3 linked regions of the Coturnix japonica genome follow. The protein of the gene in region 3 purifies or fractionates together with the protein of the main gene of each other region. This does not show direct contact. Links are inferred from orthologs where the notes say so. Each region holds a gene or a part of one and is shown on either strand. Other genes may lie near its edges.

Evidence for each region.
Region 1: the proteins of CTBP1 (region 3) and EHMT1 purify together in Homo sapiens (affinity purification with mass spectrometry; 3 studies listed by BioGRID and IntAct, counting the BioPlex papers as one, with this or other methods). This does not show direct contact. The link is inferred for Coturnix japonica from reciprocal best matches to the Homo sapiens genes CTBP1 and EHMT1.
Region 2: the proteins of CTBP1 (region 3) and zinc finger transcription factor Trps1 purify together in Homo sapiens (affinity purification with mass spectrometry; 3 studies listed by BioGRID and IntAct, counting the BioPlex papers as one, with this or other methods). This does not show direct contact. The link is inferred for Coturnix japonica from reciprocal best matches to the Homo sapiens genes CTBP1 and TRPS1.

Annotation. Positions count from the first base shown.
Region 1 is NC_029532.1:1,220,369-1,227,900, forward strand, and holds part of EHMT1 (histone-lysine N-methyltransferase EHMT1), read left to right. Parts: intron 1-1,372; coding exon 1,373-1,518; intron 1,519-4,183; coding exon 4,184-4,327; intron 4,328-5,802; coding exon 5,803-6,029; intron 6,030-6,473; coding exon 6,474-6,638; intron 6,639-6,806; coding exon 6,807-6,889; intron 6,890-7,532. UniProt on the Homo sapiens protein: Histone methyltransferase that specifically mono- and dimethylates 'Lys-9' of histone H3 (H3K9me1 and H3K9me2, respectively) in euchromatin.
Region 2 is NC_029517.1:121,431,748-121,439,279, reverse strand, and holds part of zinc finger transcription factor Trps1, read left to right. Parts: intron 1-3,327; coding exon 3,328-4,389; 3' UTR 4,390-7,532. UniProt on the Homo sapiens protein: Transcriptional repressor. Binds specifically to GATA sequences and represses expression of GATA-regulated genes at selected sites and stages in vertebrate development. Regulates chondrocyte proliferation and differentiation.
Region 3 is NC_029519.1:76,689,074-76,697,087, forward strand, and holds the start of CTBP1 (C-terminal-binding protein 1), read left to right. Parts: upstream 1-3,690; 5' UTR 3,691-3,798; coding exon 3,799-3,856; intron 3,857-8,014. UniProt on the Homo sapiens protein: Corepressor targeting diverse transcription regulators such as GLIS2 or BCL6. Has dehydrogenase activity. Involved in controlling the equilibrium between tubular and stacked structures in the Golgi complex.

The DNA of each region.
Region 1 (7,532 bases), on a different chromosome or scaffold from region 3:
ATTTACCATCAAGGGAGGGTCAGGATGGATGAGGGGTGTTTTCATCAGAGCCTCTGGATGTCAAGAAAGATTATGAAAGCGGCAGCTTAGAAGGTGAGGAATGAGCTTTGTGATTTGTGGTCCTAGATAAAGCTCTTACACGTTTAATATCTGGGTAGGATTTTACATGAAAACTGCAAGGGCTTTCCTTCTGCTTGTGTGTCTTGAAACATCTCATCCCTTTTCAGGGCTTAGTCTTGCAACTTAGCCAAAGGAAACCCCTTACAAGATGAAAAGAGCTTCTACTCAGCTGATAGGGTCGCAGCCATAGGCAGGAAAGGGGGAGAGTGCTTTTGTCAGGGCAGCTACAGAGGAATCTCTAAAGAATGAAGTTAGTCTTTGAAATTTTGCAGCAAAACAGCTATTCTTCCAAAAGCTTCAAAAACAGCAGCACACTTCCTTCTCACTGTGACTTAAACCCATAACAGGCTTGTTCAGGAAAAGCTTGGGACGCTGCAGGGTGAACTGCAGGTAATGTTTGAGGGTTTAAAACCTTGCAAGAGATGTTACAACTGTGTAGGACTAAGGTAGGTGTGTGGGACAAAAAGTAATCCCTGTGTCATCGGGTCAGTGTCTTGTGGTCACACATAACCTAGTAAATGAGTTGAATCCAGAGGGAGAACCTTCACAATGTTCCCCCATTCCTGGCCATGTGTTCACTTAAAAGTCATTGTCCACCTTTAAAAAGGTTTGGAAGTGTTAAATATCTGAGAGAAAGAGATGAGGAGAAGGCAAGAAGATCCGAACATCTTGCTGCTTTCTTTTCTCTGGTTTGTTTTCTTTCAAAAACAAGTAAAAAATAAATAAAAATTACATCTATATTTTGGTTCTGTGAGACCAAATAGTCCCAGGAATTTTGTTTTCCCGTTTGCATTGTAAGCTTCTGCCAATAGTAGTTTATGCTTTCCTGATCTTCTCTATTTAACACTCCCCATACTACTCAAATTTCCAACTCTAGTTTGTTTCCTACCGATTTCCTGGTGCAGAGCACAGTGCTGTGGGACAGGTGAGAAAGAGACAGACTGATAAAAATCTGTACCTTGTAGCTTTTCCGTGTTGGGGTTTTCTCAGGATCAACTGTTCTTAACAGAGTGTTCTTGAATCCAGAGCTGTCATCTGTGGTGTCACTGGACTCAGAAAAGCACAGTATGCTTTTGCAGATTCCATCTGCTGTAAGAAGTGGGTCTTTTTTTGCAGGGTTTAGATGATGCCTTTAAAGCATTTCAGGATGTGGAACTGGAAGATGCCATGAGACATGAATGGTGCTGATGGACTGCATCCTTCCTCCTGGAGGGTAACATGAGAGTTGATTTACTGATCTTCTGTACTTTAGGTCTTTCCAATGGCCCTGAAGCAATGGAAGTAGATGGTCTCCAGGAAGTTCCCCTCTGTAGCTGTCGAATGGAAACCCCCAAAAGCAGAGAGATCACCACGCTAGCCAACAACCAGTGCATGGCCACCGAGAGTGTGGATAATGAGGTAGGAACCTGTCTTTCAGCTTCTCGCAGACTTTTTTTTCCTGAGGACAAAGACATAGTCAAGAGATAAAGCCATGCCAGGGGCATGCATCAGGTCACGCAGACGCTCTGCAGCATGCTAGATTGGGAGCCCAGTGGTGTGGGCACGGTGGGGCAAACACCTCCCTGCAGCACTCTGCATGTTTCGCACACTCTGGTTAAAGCCACTCCAAAGTGAGTAGGTACAATTTGCGGGGCTAGCTGGAGAAGCACTGGGTGGATCTCCTGCTTGTCCTGGCTTGTGTAGCTGGATCAGCTGGATGTAACAAGCACACTTCAGGCCAAGTGGGCTAAAATACATTAGCATGCATCAAAGTGAGAGAATCCAATCGGGGGAAGCTTGGAGCTGGTTCCCTTGACTACAAAGGAGCTGATGCAAACCTTTCCGTAGCCAGCTCTTGAGTTTCTGGAACTTGGCATGCCTTCTGCCAGCTCAGTCTCCTTTGGCCCTCCACTTTCCTCCTCCCCCCCAAGAGACTTGTGTTACTAAGCTTCCTATGTCCTGGCAGTCCTGCGCAGCCTCTGTGGCTGGCTGGAAACGTTGCACTTGATGCCTCTAAATTGATCACAGCTGGGCTAGTTGGGCTCTGCTGGTTCTGAGAAGGTGGAATTAAGAGGCAAAAGTGACTCCCTCTCAGAGTTTGGAAAGGAAGATGGCGTGACAGAAGCAAACTCGGGAGATGCTCCTTACTCTGGAAGAAACTGGCGTTTCTTTGATGCATCAGCTGAGCTGCAGCCATGCTGCAGTGCTCTGATATTTACTGATAGAAGGACAAGGAGTCAGAGCACTCCTGGTTCTTCTGGAGTATCACAGTAGAAGGGTGGATGGAGGGAGGAAGGGGTAATCACATTGACAGCCCTGCTCTGCTTCTGTTAGTACATGCTGGTACCTATAGAGAAAGGAATTTCACTATCGTGACAGAGTTGGTAGGTGAAGGAGGGGATGCCCTGGAGACTCGCAGGAGAGAGGGTTCTCCAGGGTTTCTAAATAAACAGAAAGAATACAGAGGAGTTCCTGTGGTTATCTGGCAGTTCTTCCCCCAGATAAATCAGATAAAGGAATAGTGAAGGCCGTGCATTCTGTTAGATTCTTTTTGGTAATGGGATAAGTGACTCATAGATGTGGTAAGGATATTACATGTATGAATAGTGGGTTCAGTAGACAGTCATGTCCTTGGATAATGTTATAAATAGTCAGGAGCACCACTACACTCTCTAATGGCTGGAAAATAGCAATTGATCATTTTGTACTATTTTAGACTTTTCTAACAAATAATATGTTGTGACAGGATGATGCAGGGACTTCCTTATGCAGACAGTGCAGCTTCTCCTGCTTTAATCAGATTTCCTCCACTCATAAATAAAAATCAATGGACTGGTCCTCTCCTGCAGCCCCTGGGGTCTGTGTGTGAGCAGTGATCACTTCAGGTAAGGTGTCACAACCGCAGGTAGGCTTTGCAGCTGGAGTTTGGGTAAGCTGGGTCAGAGATGCTAAGGGAGAAGAGCTCAGGTTAAAAACAGTTCTTTGTTGTTTGTTTTTTTTTCCCTGTAGGTGTGTTGATTGTAGGAGAAATGGAGTTTAAAATAAATCAGGGAGTTTAGTTTTACTGAGAAAAAGCAGTGAATCAGACCTCAGCTACAGAGCAGGAGGGGCAGCCTGCTAGTGAGGAGCAGACACTGTGTTCCTTACGGACTGCTGTGGTGATGGAGGCAGAGTGCAGTACACCACGCTCAGATTCTGGTAGGGGTGTTTCCTCCTATGAACTTTTCATGTTTATGTTTCTGTGCTGGAATTGTCCTTTGCCAAGCACTGGGAGAAAGCAAGGTTTTCATCTGAAGGGATTTAGAGAACTCAAACAATGTTGTACCACGCTGACAGGTGGCAAACAGGATGTGGAAGGTTTATAGGTGTACACAGGGGTGGCAGGAGGAAGCCCCAGTCCTTGAGGCACAGCAGAGTGAGTGACACTGCTGGGAAAAGCCCTGCTGATGGAGCCTGCTGTCACTGGCAGAGCAAGGTGCCAGAAGACAGCTCTTAGGCCCGAAATGATACACTGGTGAAATGTTGCAGAAAGCATGCTCAAAATCTGACTGGAGCTGAGCTCTCATGAACGACTGGCTCTTCGTCCCTGTGGTCTGGGCAGGGGCCAGTGCTGGAACCAGTACAGACGATAACATAGCTGGCAATGAAGAGCAATTATTTTTCCCTTTATCTTCCTGTGACTTGTACTTTTGAACAGTAACAAGATTTAGCGCGTATGTTCTTGTTCTCTTGGTCACTGACACCCGCTCTTCCTGGCAAAAGCAGAGAGTGTATTGTGAGTCAGGCCCCTGGGACTGCCCCCTCTGTGGCTGCTTGGCTGTTGCGTATTTCCAGTTATGATTTTTCTTGCAAGGAACAAATGAGTCCGGTCCACATGCATGTTAGTTAGTAAATGATGCATTTCTTCCTGTGAGAGCAGCTTTCACAGCTTCCTGCTGCCCTGCTAATGCTATCTGGCACACATCTGAATTACTGTGAAAAAGCCAGGGCTCATCAAAGCAGTGTGCAAAATCTTCCTCCGCACAAGCACAGAGAGTGTTTTGGTCTCCAGTAATTTCATTTCCTTTAATTTCTCCTGTTCCAGCTGGGCCGATGCACAAACAGTGTGGTTAAGTATGAACTGATGCGCCCGTCTAACAAAGTCCAGCTTTTGGTGCTGTGTGAGGACCATAGAGGGAGGATGGTGAAACACCAGTGTTGCCCTGGCTGTGGATACTTTTGCACTGCAGTAAGTCCGTGCTCTCAATCTAGGGAAGGGGGTACTTGTTGCAGTAGCTGGAAGAGGTGAAGGTGGAGATTTACCCAAAGGGGTTTACTGACTTCCTGGCATAAGCTCCACCTCATTCCACAGCACATCAGATGGCATTTTCAACAGTAATGTGTTTGAAAGTAGCTACAATGCTCACCTGTAACTTCCTGGAGACCCCGAGGGGTGTCACCGAAGGGGTGGAATTCATACCTTTGGAATTTTTTTGGAACATTGTTTGTTTTTTTTTTTTCTTCCTCTGTGCAGTCAATCACATCACAAATGGTGTTAGCCTTAGTCTGCATACAGGACAGGGGTTCTGTCCCCCGTGCCGCACAGTGAGGTGGGGGAACCAGAGTGATGGCACTGGAACAAGGCAATGTTTGAGATCTCCTCCTCCTTCTCTACCACTGAGGTTTTAATAGCATTGGCCCAGTGCTTTGAGCCATCGTTGTCCTTGTTTCCTTGCTGGTGAAACACTCATTGAGAGCCTCCCGGGGTGATAGGGTGGGTTAATTGTCTGATGTTAGCGTTCTTAAAGATGACTCGATGAAAGGTATTAGAGTAGTCTCAACATTATTATAACTGTAATAAATGGTACCATCCCGAGTTTTCATGCTGAGTCAAAGATCATTTGAAAGATATAATCCTCAGAACGCTTGAAGACATTTTGCAATGCTGAAATAGTTAATAAGATGTCTTGGGAGGACTGTGAATCCAGGAGAAGAGTGGGTTTAAACTAACTTTTCCTTAATGCTGTTACATCTCTGAGTGACCTCATAGTTCATAAAGGTGAATCTGGCAGTGTTTGTGTTATCAGTCACTAGTAACACAGAGCACCGTAGGGCTTTAGGTAGCACTGATATCACAGAACAGTGAGTTCTGGGGTGCAGTTCAACTTGGAGGACTTTGCTGGAAAGAGAAGATAATTTGTAGAAAGGTGGCTCACATCTGTCAGCAGATGGGGTTAAAGAGCATACAGGGCTGGTCCAAACAGAGGAGTTGCATGCTTTGGGTAACACTGGGGTTGACAGCTGATGTAATTGTATCATTGTTGTTCCTTGAATGGTTTGTGTGCAGATGTGTTTGGTAGTTTTAGTGCTGACTGGTTTGAAGTTTTCTTTTCCAGTATTGGGAGCGTCCTTACAGTACACTGGCACTTCTAGGAACGTAAGCAAGAACCTCAAGTGTTAGAGCTGGAAAATGGGACTCTGTGGTTCTGTTTCCCACGTGCAATTAAAAAACTTGCTTTGCAGTTCCTAACCAAGTGAGTTTTTTCCCATTACCTTGGTTTTGTTCTCTTCTAAAGAAGTGGCAGTGCTTGCTTACTGTACTGGAAGCGCGAGGGACAAGAGAGGTCGTGAATGATGTGTTTAAGAGCTCTGCGGATGAAGCATGTGGAAGGGGTAAGGCTCGTAGTGACCAAGGTGTGAATATCTTCTCTGTAATTTTTTTAGGGCACTTTCATGGAGTGTCAGCCTGAGAGCAGCATCTCCCACCGTTTCCACAAGAACTGTGCCTCCCAGGTCAACGACACGAGCTACTGCCCACACTGCGGGGAAGACGCCTCCAAGGCAAAGGAGGTGACAATAGCAAAAGCAGACACGACTTCCACGGTGTCACTGGCCTATGAGCAGCAGAAACCAGCAGCAGTGGAGGGAAGGGCTGACACCACGACAGGGAGGTGAGCTTGGGAGCTCGTGGCAGCCTCAACGCTTGTGCCTCAGCCCTTCATGTGGAGTACTTAGCCTGAGGTGTTTAGCTGCCCCCAGCAGTGTGTACAGATGCAGAGAGTCAAAACTTAGAGGAAAACATAAGTGAAGACATCCCTGTGATGAAGAGTGCTTCAGCTTCCTGTGTGATCTGATCTTGTTCTCAAGGCTCTTATGACTTGTAGTGAGCAGGGCAGTGCCCTCAGCCCCATGATGTTCTGTTGCTTGTTGCAAAGAGTACATCGAAATGTAGTCATAGGTCAATGCAACTCTTTACCAAAAATGGCTGTAAAATATCTTGCTTTGTGTTACTCTGTCTGTCAATTTAAAATCAATTTCCTTTCCTTCTTTGGCATAAGATACACACAGCGTTGTATATTTTTAATGGCTGTGCTTTGGCTCTCTCTCATTTTCAGTGTCACTGGAACGCGGTTGTCTGAGGAAGATAAGCCAGAAAGTTCGGCTGCGGAGGGATTTGACTTAGCTGGATCTTCAGTTTTTCCAAAGCCTACTACTAGCCTGACCCAGGGACCAGTTAAAGAAACTCTGGAAAGTGCCCTGATTGCCCTGGACTCTGAAAAGTAAGGAATAAGCCATCTTCTGAACAGTTGATGTTCTTTGGTTTTGCTGGCACTCTGGAGCTGTACCATAGGAACAAACTTTCTCATGCCTATGGTGTGGGTTGGGCTAAAATATTGGGGAATATTCTTCAGCGTGTATTAATTCTGCCTCTTTCCCCATTGCTGCAGACCCAAGAAGTTACGGTTCCATCCAAAACAGTTGTACTTCTCTGCCAGGCAAGGAGAGCTGCAAAAAGTCCTGCTTATGTTGGGTAGGTGGCTCCTTCCCAGGACGCGGTGTGTCTGGCAGTACTCCCAGCTCCTGCCAGGCAGCTGCCAGAGCCCAGTTCCCAGCATGGCAGCACGTCATATTCCCCACTGCCCCTTGTGAATGGTGTTGGGAGGAGAAAGCCACTTTTGCAAGCAATGTGTCATCAGAAATGGCTCCATCTTTCTGTGAAATATGGGCTTGCTCCCAGCTTGCTTCTGCGTTTGGACGCAGTTTTATCCAGAGAAGCTTTCTCTACCCCCAAATGACCTATGTTTGATTTTTCCAATCCAGTAGAACTTTGCCTCCCCGTGCTGTGGGATGGTTGGTTATTTGCATCCAGTGCAGAGGTAGAAAGATGGGAGTGTGATTAAATTAAGACCAGTCAGCAAGAAAGTGGAGAAGAAGAAAACCTCAGTACAGAGGTCTTTATTCTGGGGGTACGTAACTGTCACCAGATGACTTTCAGCTGATGGGGTTGTTTTTTTTACCAACAAATATTCCCAAGGAATAGCAACCTGTGAAGGACACGATGTTTTACTTGGGGTCGTTTCCTTTCTACTCCAGTACTTCACAGTACATTTTTGGATGCTTTCTGCTCTTTTGCATCTATCACTCTTTTTTTTTTTTGTTTTTCTCCTTGCAAG
Region 2 (7,532 bases), on a different chromosome or scaffold from region 3:
GTGGTATAGTAGCAACACTGGTGTTAATTGGGTTTTTCAGAACCCAATTCAATCAAACTTGTCTCTCCATTGGGACACTGTTTAAGACAGTCCCACACTCTTATGTAACAGCAGAAGTTTGAAGATTTGTTTTATCCCTATAGTATACCTCCCTAGCTATCTCTTCATGAAAAAATACAATAATTATTTGTCATCTATATATTTTTAAATTAAGGAGTCTAGGGTGATACTAGTTATTAGGCTGAAAATATGAAAAAAAAAATAAATCCAAGGGACTAGAACTGTTCCCTTAAAATGAAACTGCCCCATTAAACTAAATTATGCTACTCAGCTGAATAAAATTATTCACCTCTAGTAGGTTTGTATATTTCATAGCTACCTTTTAATTGGATTATCACTGCCTAAAACTACTGTGCTCATTAACCGATCGATACTTAAGAATGTGTATAATACACTTATCTCTACAGTCTCATCTTTTACTGGTATTTAGTAAGGAGAAAAATCCATGATCTGTCCAATAGTACTAAAGAAATATGGACTGATAAATGCTAATATTGTAATGATTCCTGTTATGAGTCACATTTCCATTTCTATCAATATACCTATGGATCATTTGCGTGAATCTTGTCAGATGTTTCACATTTTTCTCCCTTAATGCAGACAAATAGGTTATGAAAAGTGTAATAATATTTAAACGGTCGATTATTAAAATAGTTTAAGTGAAGAAAGATACTTCCATTTCAGTGAAAGCACATACACAATGTTCACAATTACTGGTGTGGAAAAGTATAACCTTTTTCTCTCCAGAAAGACATGAATATGACCACATACATTGCAGTGTTATTCCTCTTTGTTTAATAACTAATACAATCATGAAAAACTAGATTATGTTGAGTAGAGATTTTTCGGCCAAATTCTCAGACTACTTCCTTGAGGGATTACGGTATATTACTCTAGGGTTAGATATAAATGATCTCCTGGTGCAGAAATCACAGCAATTTCCCATCATATATAGGAAGCCTAGACAAAATAATTCTGATTAGTGCTGAATTTCCTTTCTTATTTTTTTTTTAATGTTACTTATGCTTTTGAGGGATGGAGATTACCAGTTGATACAGAGATAGGAAAAAAAAATTGTACTAAATATACTATGTGTAACATGTAATTAAAGGTCTGATATAGGACATTTGAAAAGGAGAATTCTGGCAATTTCTGTTTTTTAATATGAGTGCCACATCGATGATCTAGAAGCGAGTAGATTTTTTCATCTTTTCTTGCAAGCACACGTTATATTGCTGTCTGCCCCTTTTTACTATAAACAGGAAATGTGTGTGTAGTGTTACTCCACTGTGTTTGCTGTTTTAACCAGCTGAAGACTTGTCAGCAGGATAGTCTCTGTCATACTTAAGTATTGTTAAGTTGTACCTACAGACATTAATTCCTGGCAAGTGAGTTGAAGAGCCAGAAATGCAAATATGCGTGAGGATCCTCCCTCACAGGTGTGAAGATGATTCTTTTAACTGCTTGCAGGATCAGATTTCACACCTGTAGCAAGGTTAAAACTATTACCATATCTCTGCAAATGATACTGTGAACCCATATGAAAGTGTTCTGTAGTGTATAAATCAATGTTTAGTGTGAGCAACCTTCAACAGATTTGTAAGTTCTGTCACACTTTGTCCATATGACAGTGTCGACAAAAAGTAATTTAAACTGAGCTTGTAACATGTATATTAATTGGCGATCGAATCTGCAACTATAAACTTTATTTGCATAAAGTATACATTGAAAATATTCTAATTTAATCTGAACATGAATTTGCCTTGGCTTACCTTGGTCTATTTGTGACTGTTTCAGATGCTCTTTTTCTGATAAGTTGAAATTTTGTGTATTCAGACTCTAAATCAGAGTCTTTTTATTTAGATTTTTAGTAGAAAGTAGAATTTGATCAAGTAGCTGCGCTGCCTAAAACGTGGTTAACCATTAAAAATGAGTAGACATCAGGAAAGCAAATAGATGAAAAAAGAGAAAATGATATATCAAGAGAGAAGTAAGTATAAGAGTGAGAATTCCTCCAGTTCTGGATACTTTTATATTAATACATAAAATTATGTTACATTTAAGTTACAAATTGTTTTGGATATTGATTGTAGGCCAAAATTTAATCTGCACTTTAAAACAATGTTAAAAGGAAAATTCCCAAGTAAACATATAAGTAGAACACTTTATGGGGCACTTCTTTGGCCTCCAACCAAAACAGGATTATGTGTGCATTTGGATGAGACAAATGGCAACTCAGAACACCAAACTGAATAACTTTTAGGTAGTTTCTGTTGTTTTAACATCTGCCCAGTAGAGCAACACATACTGACATTACAGTACCATCTTTCATTCACATACCATTCCCTTCCTGCTGAGGGCCCTTTCAAAGTGGCCTGGCTGCTCTCCTACTTCATACTATTTTCCTTCCTTCACGCAGAAGTGTTTTCAGCTCTTCTTCAAATAGGCCACCTACCCTGAGCTGGTGTAGGGAAGTATCAAATGGAAACAGAAGGCCCTGCTTGATTCTGCCTCTTCCTGGCTGTTTTTTTCTTTGCAGACCCTTTCCCTCCTTCTGGGTGCTTCCTCTCTCCCTCATGTAGCACAGCATTGTAACATTTGGGAAGAAATGCACTAGGAATGAAGAAAGAGGCATTCGTGACAAAGTCCCAGCATCTTTTTGGAGCTTAAGAAAACATTTTCTTCTTCATGACCCTTTTTTGCCATCATTATCTCCAAAGCAGATCTGTATCCCCTCTCCTAGTTAAAAGTGGTGATAATCATCAAGTCATGTTTTTACTGTCATTTTTTATCTGTAGCAAAATGGGGTGGCTGTAAAGGTAAGTTCTTGTTGTAGAGTGATCTGTGCAAACCCCTGCCCAGTACCAGCTCTCATGACATAATATATGGCGTAATGCTAGTGTGTAGAGTCATGCATCTCCCACCTAATCTTTAGCTCTCAGCACCCTCTTTCAGCAGATCTCCCCCAGGCTTTTTCAGAAATAGGACAACTTGGATGCTTCATCCTTTTCTAAGTAAACAGGTATAGTACATCTGTGATGGTTCACTTAGTGTAATAAAACAAAGCAATTCACGATTTATTTTTAACATGAGGGCCCAAGTAGCAGCCTTTTGGTTCACTTTATTTGTGAGAAATGGTAATTTCCTTAAAACTCTCTTATATCTCTTCACAAAAGAAAAGATAAATTTGCATGAACCTGGTCTGCTAGATGTGTTTAATATCTCTTTCTTTTTCCTGTTTGTTCATTATGTGTGTGTTCCATGCAGACTCCCAGGCCTTTAAACATCATTAAGCAGAACAATGGTGAGCAGATCATAAGGAGACGAACAAGAAAGCGCCTTAACCCGGAGGCACTTCAGGCTGAGCAACTAAACAAACAGCAGAGGGGTAGCAGTGAGGAGCAAGTCAATGGAAGCCCCTTAGAGAGGAGGTCAGAGGATCACTTAACTGAAGGTCATCAGAGAGAAATTCAGCTTCCCAGCCTCACTAAATATGAGGCCCAAGGTTCATTGACTAAAAGCCATTCTGCTCAGCAGCCAATACTGGTCAGCCAATCTCTGGATATTCACAAAAGGATGCAACCTTTGCACATTCAGATAAAAAGTCCTCAGGAAAGTACTGGAGACCCAGGCAACAGTTCATCGATATCAGAAGGGAAAGGAAGCTCAGAGAGAGGCAGCCCAATTGAAAAGTACATGAGACCTGTGAAACACCCGAACTATTCACCACCTGGAAGCCCCATTGAAAAATACCAGTACCCACTCTTTGGACTTCCGTTTGTACACAATGACTTTCAGAGTGAAGCTGACTGGCTGAGATTCTGGAGTAAATATAAGCTGTCTGTTCCTGGGAATCCACACTACTTGAGTCATGTGCCTGGCCTACCAAATCCTTGCCAAAACTATGTGCCTTATCCCACCTTTAATCTGCCTCCTCATTTTTCAGCTGTTGGATCAGACAATGACATTCCTCTAGATTTGGCGATAAAGCATTCCAGACCTGGGCCAACTGCAAATGGTGCCTCCAAGGAAAAGAGTAAGGCACCACCAAATGTAAAAAATGAAGGTCCCTTGAATGTAGTAAAAACAGAGAAAGTTGATAGAAGTACTCAAGATGAACTTTCTACCAAGTGTGTGCACTGTGGCATTGTCTTTCTGGATGAAGTGATGTATGCTTTGCATATGAGTTGCCATGGTGACAGTGGACCTTTCCAGTGCAGCATATGCCAGCATCTTTGCACGGACAAGTATGACTTCACAACTCACATCCAGAGGGGCCTACACAGGAACAATGCACAAGCTGAAAAGAATGGAAAACCTAAAGAGTAAACCTTAGCACTTAGCACAATTAAACAGAAATAGGTTTCCTTGATGGGAATTCAATAGCTTGTAATGTCTTGTGAAGACCTATAAAGCACTTCATATAGAGAGCATGCCTTATCCAATATTAAACCCCTTGTCTTTTCTTTTTCTTCCTTTTTCTTTTTTTTTTTTCAGTTTTTGTTTTACTTTATCTTTTTCTTTTAAATGAGTGGGTTACCAAGAAAAAAAAGAACAACTGTATGGTGGCCTGAAGGTGGAGGAGATAGTAATATGGGACATGGCCCACCAAAGCTAGCCAGAATGCAGTATACCATGGCAAATAACTTTGAGAACATTTTACCGGACATTTGATATCTTTGCTGTTTTGTAAGAGACATAACTGGCGAGAGTGCAAAGATGTGTGTATGTATATACTGCTGCAGAGGTATAGTGAGCATATGCACATTGTATATAAGAGCTAGACTTGTTAAATATACAGATGTTAAAAGGTCACTTTCTTTTTATCAATTTGGGCTAATTTCTGCCCTACAACATGCCTTAGGATCACTTTCCTCAAAGCTTTGGCAGCAATTTCATCTAGATGTCTCTCAGACTTAGCTGATTTTTAGCTACCATTTTATCTCTACATCCTTTCTGGCATACTTCAGTCTAGGAAAACCATTTTGTGCTAGTGAAGTCTCTAATACAGAAGCCACACTCCGGGTTTAATTTGCGTGGAACAAGGTAACCTGCTGTATTTTATTTTAATATATTTTAATATATTACATTTCTAAACCTTAAAGTCTAAGGTTACTTCTCCACACTTAACATTGCTATACATACCAGTCAGTCCCTTCAGTAGACTTATACCAGCTTTTGCTAAGTAGCAGTAAATGTCTTCATAGTACTTTTTAATACTTAAAGCTTTGTAAAAACTGTCCATGAAGGGAAAGCTCCTCAGCATAACTGCTCAGGGAAATAGGGCTAAATAACTAAATATTAAATAATTGGTTAAAGGTGCTGTTAGACGAGCCTCCATGCTTGCTACAAGGGTGTACAAGAACTGACTTTAATCATTTTCATTATAGCGTCCCAACCAGTAGTTTATTATTTTGCCACAGGGATGTAGAAGATATTACAAGCTACTGGATGCACTGTCAGATTAACTTATTTCATTAAAGAAGTTGGGAGAACAAATAGAAAAAAAACCTTATTTTTCTAGTAAATATTAATGTATTACATTTCAAATAATGGTGCCTGACATATTGAATAATTATTTTCTACAGTGTACGTATGCAACAAAGATATTCCATCATGCATTAGAGTCAGTTCTGGCTCTGCCTCGCTGTTTACATTTGCAAATGTAGCAAACAAGGTAATGAAGCAACTATTTCTATTGCAGTAGGTATCTTTTTTTTCTGTGTGTGTGCATTAAAGTTGTAAACGATAACATGAAATGAATGAAATTTGTTGATATTAATGGTATGGAAAAGCAAGAAGGAAATGAAAATATTTTTATGCCTACTTAGGAGAAAAAGGGTAGCACTATTCATTCCAAGTACTTTTGTATTCTTAAGCTCTTAACTCACATTGTTATGCTTAAAATGATAAACATATATCCTCTTTTTATTGCTTTGTCTGTGTTTCAGAAGAAACATTTCAGAAATTATTTTGATAAGTGCTGTTTGACGATGCAGCGCTGATGTTTTATTGCATTCTGTAGTAGCATTGCACTCCATTTTTACAATATTACGCAGTTGCTTTTTTGTTTCGTTTGGGTTTGTTTCTTTTTCGCAGTGCAGGGTCTTAGCTCCTTATGGTTGGATGGCAGGTGTAGCTCAACTGGTTCATGAATGTTGCAGCGAATGAAGTTTAAAATGTCTTTCTGATACTATGTTGTCTTTTATTTCTCCATTCATGCATTTTATTTTTTAAAATGTTCTATGAAAGTATCTCTGGACTAAGTCCTCACTTGAGATTATATGTAAAGGGTCCTATTCTGATCTCACTTACATGCCGCCTTTCTCAGATTTTCATGTAATTGAAACTAAAGCATCATATAAAAAAAAAGAAAAAAAGAAAAAAAAAATAGTTCTTGTATTTAACATACCTGAATCTCACCACTCTCCCTTCTAGGATTTGGTGCACTTACTTATAAGATACTTAACCAGATAGACAGGGAGGTGGATGATTAAAGGAGAGGTGATAGGAGATGATGTCTTACAGGGGTTGGCAAAAGGAAAATGGGGAGGAACTGGCCTAAACATTCAGCACTTTGATAGTCTTTTGAAAAATAACGTGCCTAAAGGAGTGACCATCACCATGCATGAGAAGCACTTACACAGCTGATCACCAAAGGTCTCGCTGACCTTGGCAGTATTTCAGATGTTAACGTTTTCACATAGATGAAACATTATTGCACAGTTTCTCTGATTTGTTAGGCACAGACAGGCTATTGTTCAGCATTAGGCTTGCATTCCTTCCTGCTCCACCCATTGCTTCTATACTGGTGAGCAGCATATGGAAAATCCCACTCAATCCATTCATGGTTGAGTTCTATAAACCTTTATTAGTGTTCTAGGTTAGCAAAGGATATTGGGCCACATTCTTCTTATTCTATTTTTAGATGAATCTCCTGCTTGATACCATTGCCAGACAATGTCTGGTTATGTTTTTACTATTGTTCTCCAGTAATAAGTTCTGACTTGGTTTTTGTTGATTAATTTTTGTTGGGTATTTTTTGTTTCCTTTTTTTTTTTTTTTCTTTTTTCTTTTTTTTCTGTGGGGACTGAAATAGATTACCCTTGTTTTGTTACGTCAGGGTCCAGTGTGTGTCCTTTTCAGCTTTTCCAAGAAATGTTAGGCTCACTTAGCAGTGATGTTATTGGCTTCAGATTTAGCTGCCTGCCGGTTATCAGTAGTTACTGTTTTGACTTACTTCTTCCAAGACCTACCTGTGGCTTCTTCACTGGTAGAAGCTGCATCTTCATGGCAAAATATGTTATGGGGGACATGCGCATTATAAAACTTGAGCACCGCCCTGTACTTCATAGTATCTCTTGCTACTCAGAAGCAAGAGGCCAATAAGGAGAAATACACCCATCAGGGTTTGGGGATGAGGAGAAATGAAATGTTGAGAGTGCAAAGAACAAGACAGTTTTTGATATTAA
Region 3 (8,014 bases):
TTCTGCTAAGGTGTTTTTCTTCATGGTGAGCAGCCTAAGGTGCTGTGAGCTGCCTGTTCTGCCACAAAGTCTTAGCTATGATGGGTCTTTATTATCTTGGGAACCTGTTTATTCTCCAAAACAAACAGTTGCTACAAAATGTGTAGTTATTTGGGATGATCTAAATATTTATAGCGCGAGGAACACTTTCATTATTTACTTCTTAGTTCCAGGCTGTACGGAATGGCTATTTGAAGGCTTTTAGGTGTCATGGAAAATAGAGCTCTTATTGATTTGGATGAGAGAGAAAGAGAAGCAAAGCATTAGTCTGCTTGGGTTGTCTTGGAAACTTATTTAATTTATGAAGTCATAAGAAACCGATGGCAGTGGAATGTTGAAAATAAACTTCCCGCTTTTCTTGCAGTAGGTTTTTATACATTTGAAAGTTGATAGTAGAAAGGGAAAATAATTCAGTAACTTAATGTAGTTTCAGACCAAAGAACGTATGTTAGAACGGCTAAATTAAATGAAGATAAAGATTCCCAGGGGTAACATAGAACTTCATGGCTTTGTTCTCACTGTGTTAGTGATCTATCAGTCTGTTCTGTGAGTTTTGTTTCTGTTTTGGATTTCTTACACTTTATCACCATATTTGGTTTAGTCTACAAATCTTTTTGTGTGAAGGAAGCTGATAGTAAGGCAAAGGTACAGGTCAGTCTTTTGCCTTGCCTACCTGTATGGGTCAAAGTCCATGCTCAGAATAGCTTATACACAGTCTTTTTGTAGGTGGGCTCCTTACAGATTATGTGTGATGCAGGTCACTTTTTTTAGTAGGCTTCCACCACCTAGATTAATTAAGTACAAAGGCTATCTGTTTCACCTAAAAGTCTCCCATGAAAGTGAAGCCAAGGAAACTATCCTACATTGCAACCTCTGATGTTTGATGAGAGAGAGTTCCTTAGGAATTTGGAACCCATCTCTTCCCAAGAGTGGGACTTGATAGTCCTTACAGGTGTCTACCAGCTCAGGATATTCTGTGATCTCAGCCTACCAGTGTGCATGTAAGTAGCCTACTGGCTAGCTTTAAAAATACATTTCGTAGTTTTCTTGCTTCTCATCATCTTTCTTCAGAGACCTCCTTGAATGGCTTGTTTTCAGATCTTTTTACTCACAGCTTTATGTTTGTCCTTTACTTCATTACCAATGTTGCCTTAAGTCAACGTTGCTTTACTTACTTGACATTCCCATTTCAGCTTGTAGGATTTGCTCACACTGCTATAAAAATGTTGGAGATTCTCTTTTATTGTGGTATCTCAAAGAGTAAAGCTCATCCATTCTTGAGATAGAGCTAAATGCTCCAGGCTATAATTGCCAGAGGCATCTTCTCTTAAAAAATATCTTCAAAGACTAGGATCATCTGTTTAATTGAAAGAAAAGCTATAATATTCTTTTCAATGATATATATTTAATCTTAAAATTGTGCTGCACAAACAGGTTCTGTATGCTGATATTTCAGATGGCTTTGTAGCCACTACTCATCGTGCAGTTAGGCAGTACATATCAATATATATTCCGAGTTCATTTGGATTCTCATTGAGTTAAAATATTGAAGTGTGCTCTTAAATACTTCTTGTTCTAATTCCCTGGGCAATGGGCTTTTATTTTTAGTGAATTTTTCAAATACAGTTATTCATGTTGTGGTTTAGTAATTGCAGTTAACAAACGCTCCATAATTAGAATGTTTTTGTTTTGCTGGGGAATGTTTCCCATATCATCTTCTCTTTGGATTAGAACACGAAATATAATAAAATTGTGTGAGGGTTACATTTAACACTGTGTTAATATGTTAATTTAATTTTTGCTCAAACGTATTTTTTAAAACTTACAACATCTTGCCGTGGATAAAAACCAAACAAACAGGGCTTTAAACAAAGCTACTTGATTTATGCGGTACGCTTTGAAGCTACTGTAGATGGATAGAAAGCAGCTGGTGACACTTCCAGCGGTAGGGCAGTAGTTACAGATGGGCTGCTTTTTTACAGCTGTCAGCCAACTTCGTACATAGAATGACTACAGTGGAAAAATCTTGGGCTGAATGAATAAACAAAACTGAGCGCAAGGAGGACAGAAGGCATATATGTTTCTACAAGACAGGAAATTAAATTAGCTATAAAAATTTAAACCTAGATTAGCATTGGAAACATTCAGTGTATTCTGGTTTTTGTTTCTTGTCCTCTTTTATTTTCCTTCTTCTGTGTCTATTGGAGGTGGTAGGTTGTAAAACAAAGGTAACAGGCAAAGAAATGCTAGTTTGGGGTTGACACGAGTTTGGCACATTGACTGAAGGAAAGGCAGGTAGCTATGGCTAATTTTAAAAAGCATTTAACCGCATGTTAGATTTGGTGTAATGCTCATGTAATCTTGAAGCCATGTTCAATATTGAAGGATGTTGTATTTTGCAGGAATAATCAATGTGAGGCACTATAACAGGAAATTTACTATACAGCAGTGTTTTGTTTTATTTTTAAAGAGAAATTTGGCTTCAGCATTCTTCATCAATTTCTGCTGTCACGATGATTATGTTCAGCTGTAGTCAGACATTGTGCAGAACATTAGAACTCTTGAATCTGAGGATAAAGGAAAAGGTGGAGGGAGAGTGGGTGGGAGGATGAGGTTGAATAAAGCGATAAAAGCATGATGAATATTGCACATTGCCTTCATCTTCAAGTGAAAATAAACACGGAGAGGAGCTTTGTTTTAAAAATCCAAAAGCAGCAAGCAGAGTACGGCTGGAAGAAGATAGCTGTTTTAATGCAAATGTGCAGTGCTTCATATTCAAAATATTTTTGTCACTTCACCTCAAGAGTCTTTGTGAGGTGTTGACTAAATGTGCACTTGTTTGATTTGATTAAAAAAAAAAAAAAGGAAGAAATCAAGGAAGAAACAAGCAGATTTCTAGGTTTGGTCACTTGCAAAGCCATGTAATGTTCACCACTGATGTTGAAAGCTCCTGGGAAGGAATAAAAGGAAACAGGGAAATGAATTATTTGGCCTGTGTTTGTATGCACCATGCTTGTAATACGTGTTTGGTTCTCAGAGCCTATTAAGTTCTTACAGGGGACAAATGCACTGCTCTTATTATGCTTTTCCAAGGATCTCTATAGCTTTACCCATTCACTTGCTCCTGTGTGTTTTATTTACAGTGTACATTTTGGTGAGAATTTTGATGCGGGATGTTTCTCCTCTCCCCACCCCCTTCCTGCAGGCTTCGTGTTGTGTTACCCTTCTGCTGTCTTGCCCAGCTACGCAGGATCTGAAAAGTGCTTAGTTGTGTGTGCTGCCAAAGAGCTTGCCTAGTCATGCATGAAGCTGTTTTAAATGCCATTTGCTTGATATAGATGTTGGCAGTCTGTGCTCTCACTGGGATGCACATCTTCAGTTATATGTTTCTTGAATCGTGACCCTAAACTTCCCAGTATCAAACTCTAATTTATTCTAATATCATGGAGTTAAGGATGAGAGGAGCATTTCCTTGATTGCTTTGTTATGATGCCTTCCTATGGGGAAGCTTATTGTGAAATCCCAGGATACCAAGTATATTTAGGAACTGTGAATGTTTTCTTATTCTTTTAAGTATACATAGGTCACTCTTCTGGAAAGGGGTGGGAAAAAAACCCACTATATTTAAGAAATCTGTCTTTCTATTCACAGGTTTAAAAAACAAACAAGTTTATAAAAGGCAGAAAACGTTTCTGAGTTGTGGCTGACTTGAAGTCCATCATCAAACTGTGCGGAGACGTTCTCTGAGCTTCCCCTCTTATGTCTCTAATGGACAAACACAAAGTGAAGCGGCAACGGCTGGATCGCATATTTGAAGGTTGGATATTTCAATTTCTAAGGTTGCATTCATTTAGTGGATTATAAATATTTCTGAAGGTCAGAACTCTGCTCGTTTGGTCATTCAGTGTATTTTTTTAATTGAGATGTGTTTCCTGTTGAAATCCTGTTAACTGTGCAGAGGTGTTGGGTTTTGATGAATAAAAGCAAAGAGTGTGGGAACTCTGTACTGTTGTCCAGTTCCGTTTCCTTCCAGCTCAGCATTTTAAAACGTTCTGCCAAGATGTTGTGAAAGCTTGTGGGTTTGTATAAAATAACAACCACAAAAGGATAAGGAGACCACATAATCCTCTCCAGGGTCTTTCTCTACAGATATGCTTCATATAGATTGATTTAAGAGCCCATATCTGGTCTTAGTGAGGAAATGGGAAAGAAGTTAAAGAAAAAAATCCCAGAAGACCCCCAAACTTAATGAACGTTAATAAAAATACCAAGATCTTGTGAAAGGAGTGGAATCACTTGCATCAGTCAATTAATCTTGAATCACAGTTGTGTGAATTGTATGTTCCTGGTGTTCTTTGTTTTCTTTCAGATTTGATGTGAAAACAGGCTGAGGGATAAGTTGTATTTTGATGAATGCACAAGTGGTTGAGGCTTAATGATGTTTTTTTAATACTAGATGCTTGTTTCTTCTTAGAAGGGATCTGTTAACTTCTTTACCAAACCCGTTCTGGTATGACTGGAGTAAGTGTACAGACTGTTGGATGAGTAGTTTTTGCATCATGCCTAATACTGAAGCAGTAAACTGCATTTGAAGCAGCTGTGTTGGTCGTCAGCAGTCACTGGTAGCTTTGTTGTATCCTCCTCTTTTCCCCTTTCTTTGTTACAATATGAGTGTACCCATATAATGAACCAAAGTGGAAGAGGACCAATACTAAAAATACAATATTTTGTTTGAGAATTTTTTTATGTAGGTGAATTCCTCAGTCTAGGTCACAGCTGACTCACGAGTTGCATTGAAATAGCAGTTGGAAAGGAGGAATGAGGGGCACATGGACAGTTCCTTATGACAAAGCCAGAGAAAGGCATTTCATCAGAGTACCAGAGGGTACAATTTCGTAAGTGATGTAATCTCAACAAAAAGTAGCTTAGTTCACCCTGAATACTTGATCCAAATTGGTCTCATGTCACTAGTTGACTGATTGGCCAAGGTGTCAGCTTTATCTGCTCACCAAGAACTGGGGAGCTGGCTGTTGAGGGTGGGAAATTGGGAAGGATGTCCCTTCCTCTGGACAACTCTGTTGTAGGATCAGATGGAAGTGACCTATGGGTGAGATGCCACAGTGCTTTGTGCTGTTCATCCTTTGGTCCTAGGTCCTCATTCTAGAGTCTCTGTGTCTGACCTTACCAGAAAACTTAAAGGTATATATTTATTTTATTTTTGCCTATTTTAGTGTGAGCTGAATTAGCAAAGCATGAGGAGACGGAAATGAGAGAGGACAGAGAAACCTGTCCCTTCTGAGGGCACCCACAGCTGAACTGAACTCCACCATTCTCTTAGGGTCACTATATTTGTCAGTTGGATGACGTAAGAGAAATTAGTTGTGATGATGTGGCAAAGAATGCAGTCGGGGTGGAGGTGGCAGACCGTTAGGTTCTGTGACTGTATAAAACAGCAGCGGCTTCCCTCAGGCTGTGTGTTCACATGTTGTGACACTGTTTAATCACAGCCATTTGTGTGGCTTGTTTTCCCAGCCTTACACAATTCACTGCATCCTAAAATCTATCTGTGTGGCCATGCGCTGCTGGGAATTGATGCAGTTGAAAAATACAGCAGGAATGAAGTTTTTTAGCCACTTTGACTTCCTAATCCCCTTTACCATATGCTGGATAAATGCTGTGTTGTGGGAGTGGGAAGATGAGGAAGAGGGTAAACAAGAGAAGAGGGGAAGAAAAAATGGATATGGAAAAATGCTTAAGGTTTTCTGGGTACAGGAATTCAGTTTGACTGTGTAAAACGTCAGATCTATATTCTGCTCCTGATGTTCTTAGAGGTTTGTAAACATCTCTGGCTGATGTTGTTAGATCCGTGCCAGTGTGTAATGTAGGATAAAAATGAGGGGGCAGGTTTGTTTTTAGAAAAGCTGTTCTCTCTATGTGGTCCTGTTCAGGTTTAAGAATCAAGGAGTTCTCGGCACGTATTTCCCATAACACAGCCTAAGTATTTTATATTTTAGGAGGATGCATAATGTTTCTTTTAAAGCTCAGGAAACTTAATGAGCTGTACAGCTATTAAAGGTGGCTTATCTTCTCTGTCAGCTTTTTTTTTGTTCAACAGTCCCCGTAAAGCTTTCTTTTCTCTCAACCTTTTGGCTCAGAAAAAAAGAATTATTTTTAAGATGGATTTTATTGCAAGCTCACTAAAAGCAGGTAGCGGTGGTTTGCTAATTACTGCTGCTGTTTATATGTATATTTTTAAATTGTTTAACATAAAAACTTGTGATGAGCAGGCGTTTGTGCGTTATTGCATCTATAAAGAGATGCCAGCGGTTTTGTGACGCACCACATTTCATTACTGTTTGTCTCACTGCTCAAAGGAGGTGATAGCGAGTTGAAATTCAGTTGCTAAAAATTGAATGGTGTGGGACTGATTCCCCAAATGAGATGTTGGTGCAGTGAACATGTGCACAGGGCTGCACACAGCTTGTTCTGTGCAGTTAATGGATCGCCACAAGCGCTCCTGGAAGTTACAGGGCTGTGCACTTTAAGTGCTCTGTGAGTTGAACTGTTTTCCAATGGCTTTTAGCAATTTGCACACTCGCTTACAGTAACGAATCATGCAAATTAAGCAACCAATTGAACAGGCAGCATCGGATTTACTGTTCTCCCAAGTTAATGACGGCATGGGAGCGCTACTACTAAATTTCACTTAATACTCAGCGGAGAAAAAATCTGACTCTATTACTTGGGGAGCAATTAGTTCTCTTTTAATGTAGTTGTGTAAGTAATTTTTGTCTCTGAGGTACCTATGATTCCCTTCAGTGGTTTCTTAAATATGAAATTGAATATTTGCCTTTCATCCTGAAGCTATTTTCAGGGTTATTTTTTTTTCCCCTGCTTATTCGAATGGTGTGCCATGTTCTTGCATGTGTTGTCTCCTTTACACAGTTCTATAAACCAGCTTTGACTTAAGTAAAGGCAGCTGGACTGTCCCTTGAAGAAGCCAGATATGAAACTGTGGTTTTCAGCTTCCACTGGTAGCCATGAAGTCTGCCTTGGCATAACAGCATGGTCCTGGGCAGACTGAGATGCTAATGTTAGACTTGTTCACAGTCGATAAAGTAGCTTTTAGGCTTCTTCTCTTGTAGAAAAATAGTAACGAGGCACGTGAAAGATGTTAGTTATTAGTTACTGATTATATATAGTTATTAGTTACTGATTATATTGTTCTTTGTCCCCCTCTCCAGTGAAGCTGATGATTGCAAAGCATAATTATAGCAGTATACATTTGGCAGAACAGTTGGAAGTGTCACAGTGCAAAAATAAAATGTGTTCATTTTCTGAGTAATCTGAAAAAATCTAAATGTTTTTGGCATTTGGAAATGTTGTTATCTCTAATTAAGGTATCATTGCACTTCACATTGTAACAGATCTGTAAACAGTGCTGCATGTTTGCTTATATTCTAGAAATCTTTAATTAAGTGTGTGCATGTTTTACTGACCATTGCTTGGAAGTTACCTTGGGGATGTGTGACCTGGTGGTTTGCTAGGAGCTAACAGATGAGGTAGGAAGGCAATGGAAGGCGGCTACAGCATGAGGACAGTTCTGCTACATCTGGATTCTCTGTGAACAAATTGTGAGATTGATTTTTCTGGTTTGATAGCTTGAAACAAAGAAAAAATGATTTGCAGGCACCTGGTACACAGAGAAAATACCAACGGTGCATGTCCAACAGGTCAGTGAAGACCCTGCATCACCCCTGACAGACGTGACGTGGTTTTCTAGTTCAGCTTTTGGAAGTAAAAAAGACATCCTTGCACACCCAAAGCTTCTCAGCAATCCTTACAATCCCTTTTCCTCTTTCTGAAGCATTGGTATACAGCTTAATGTCATTCTTTCTGCACAGGTTGCCTCTTCCTTTAAGTGCCCAGAATAAAGCTTGGAATGTGTTATAGTGGTTTTAACAGCGTGGCTTTA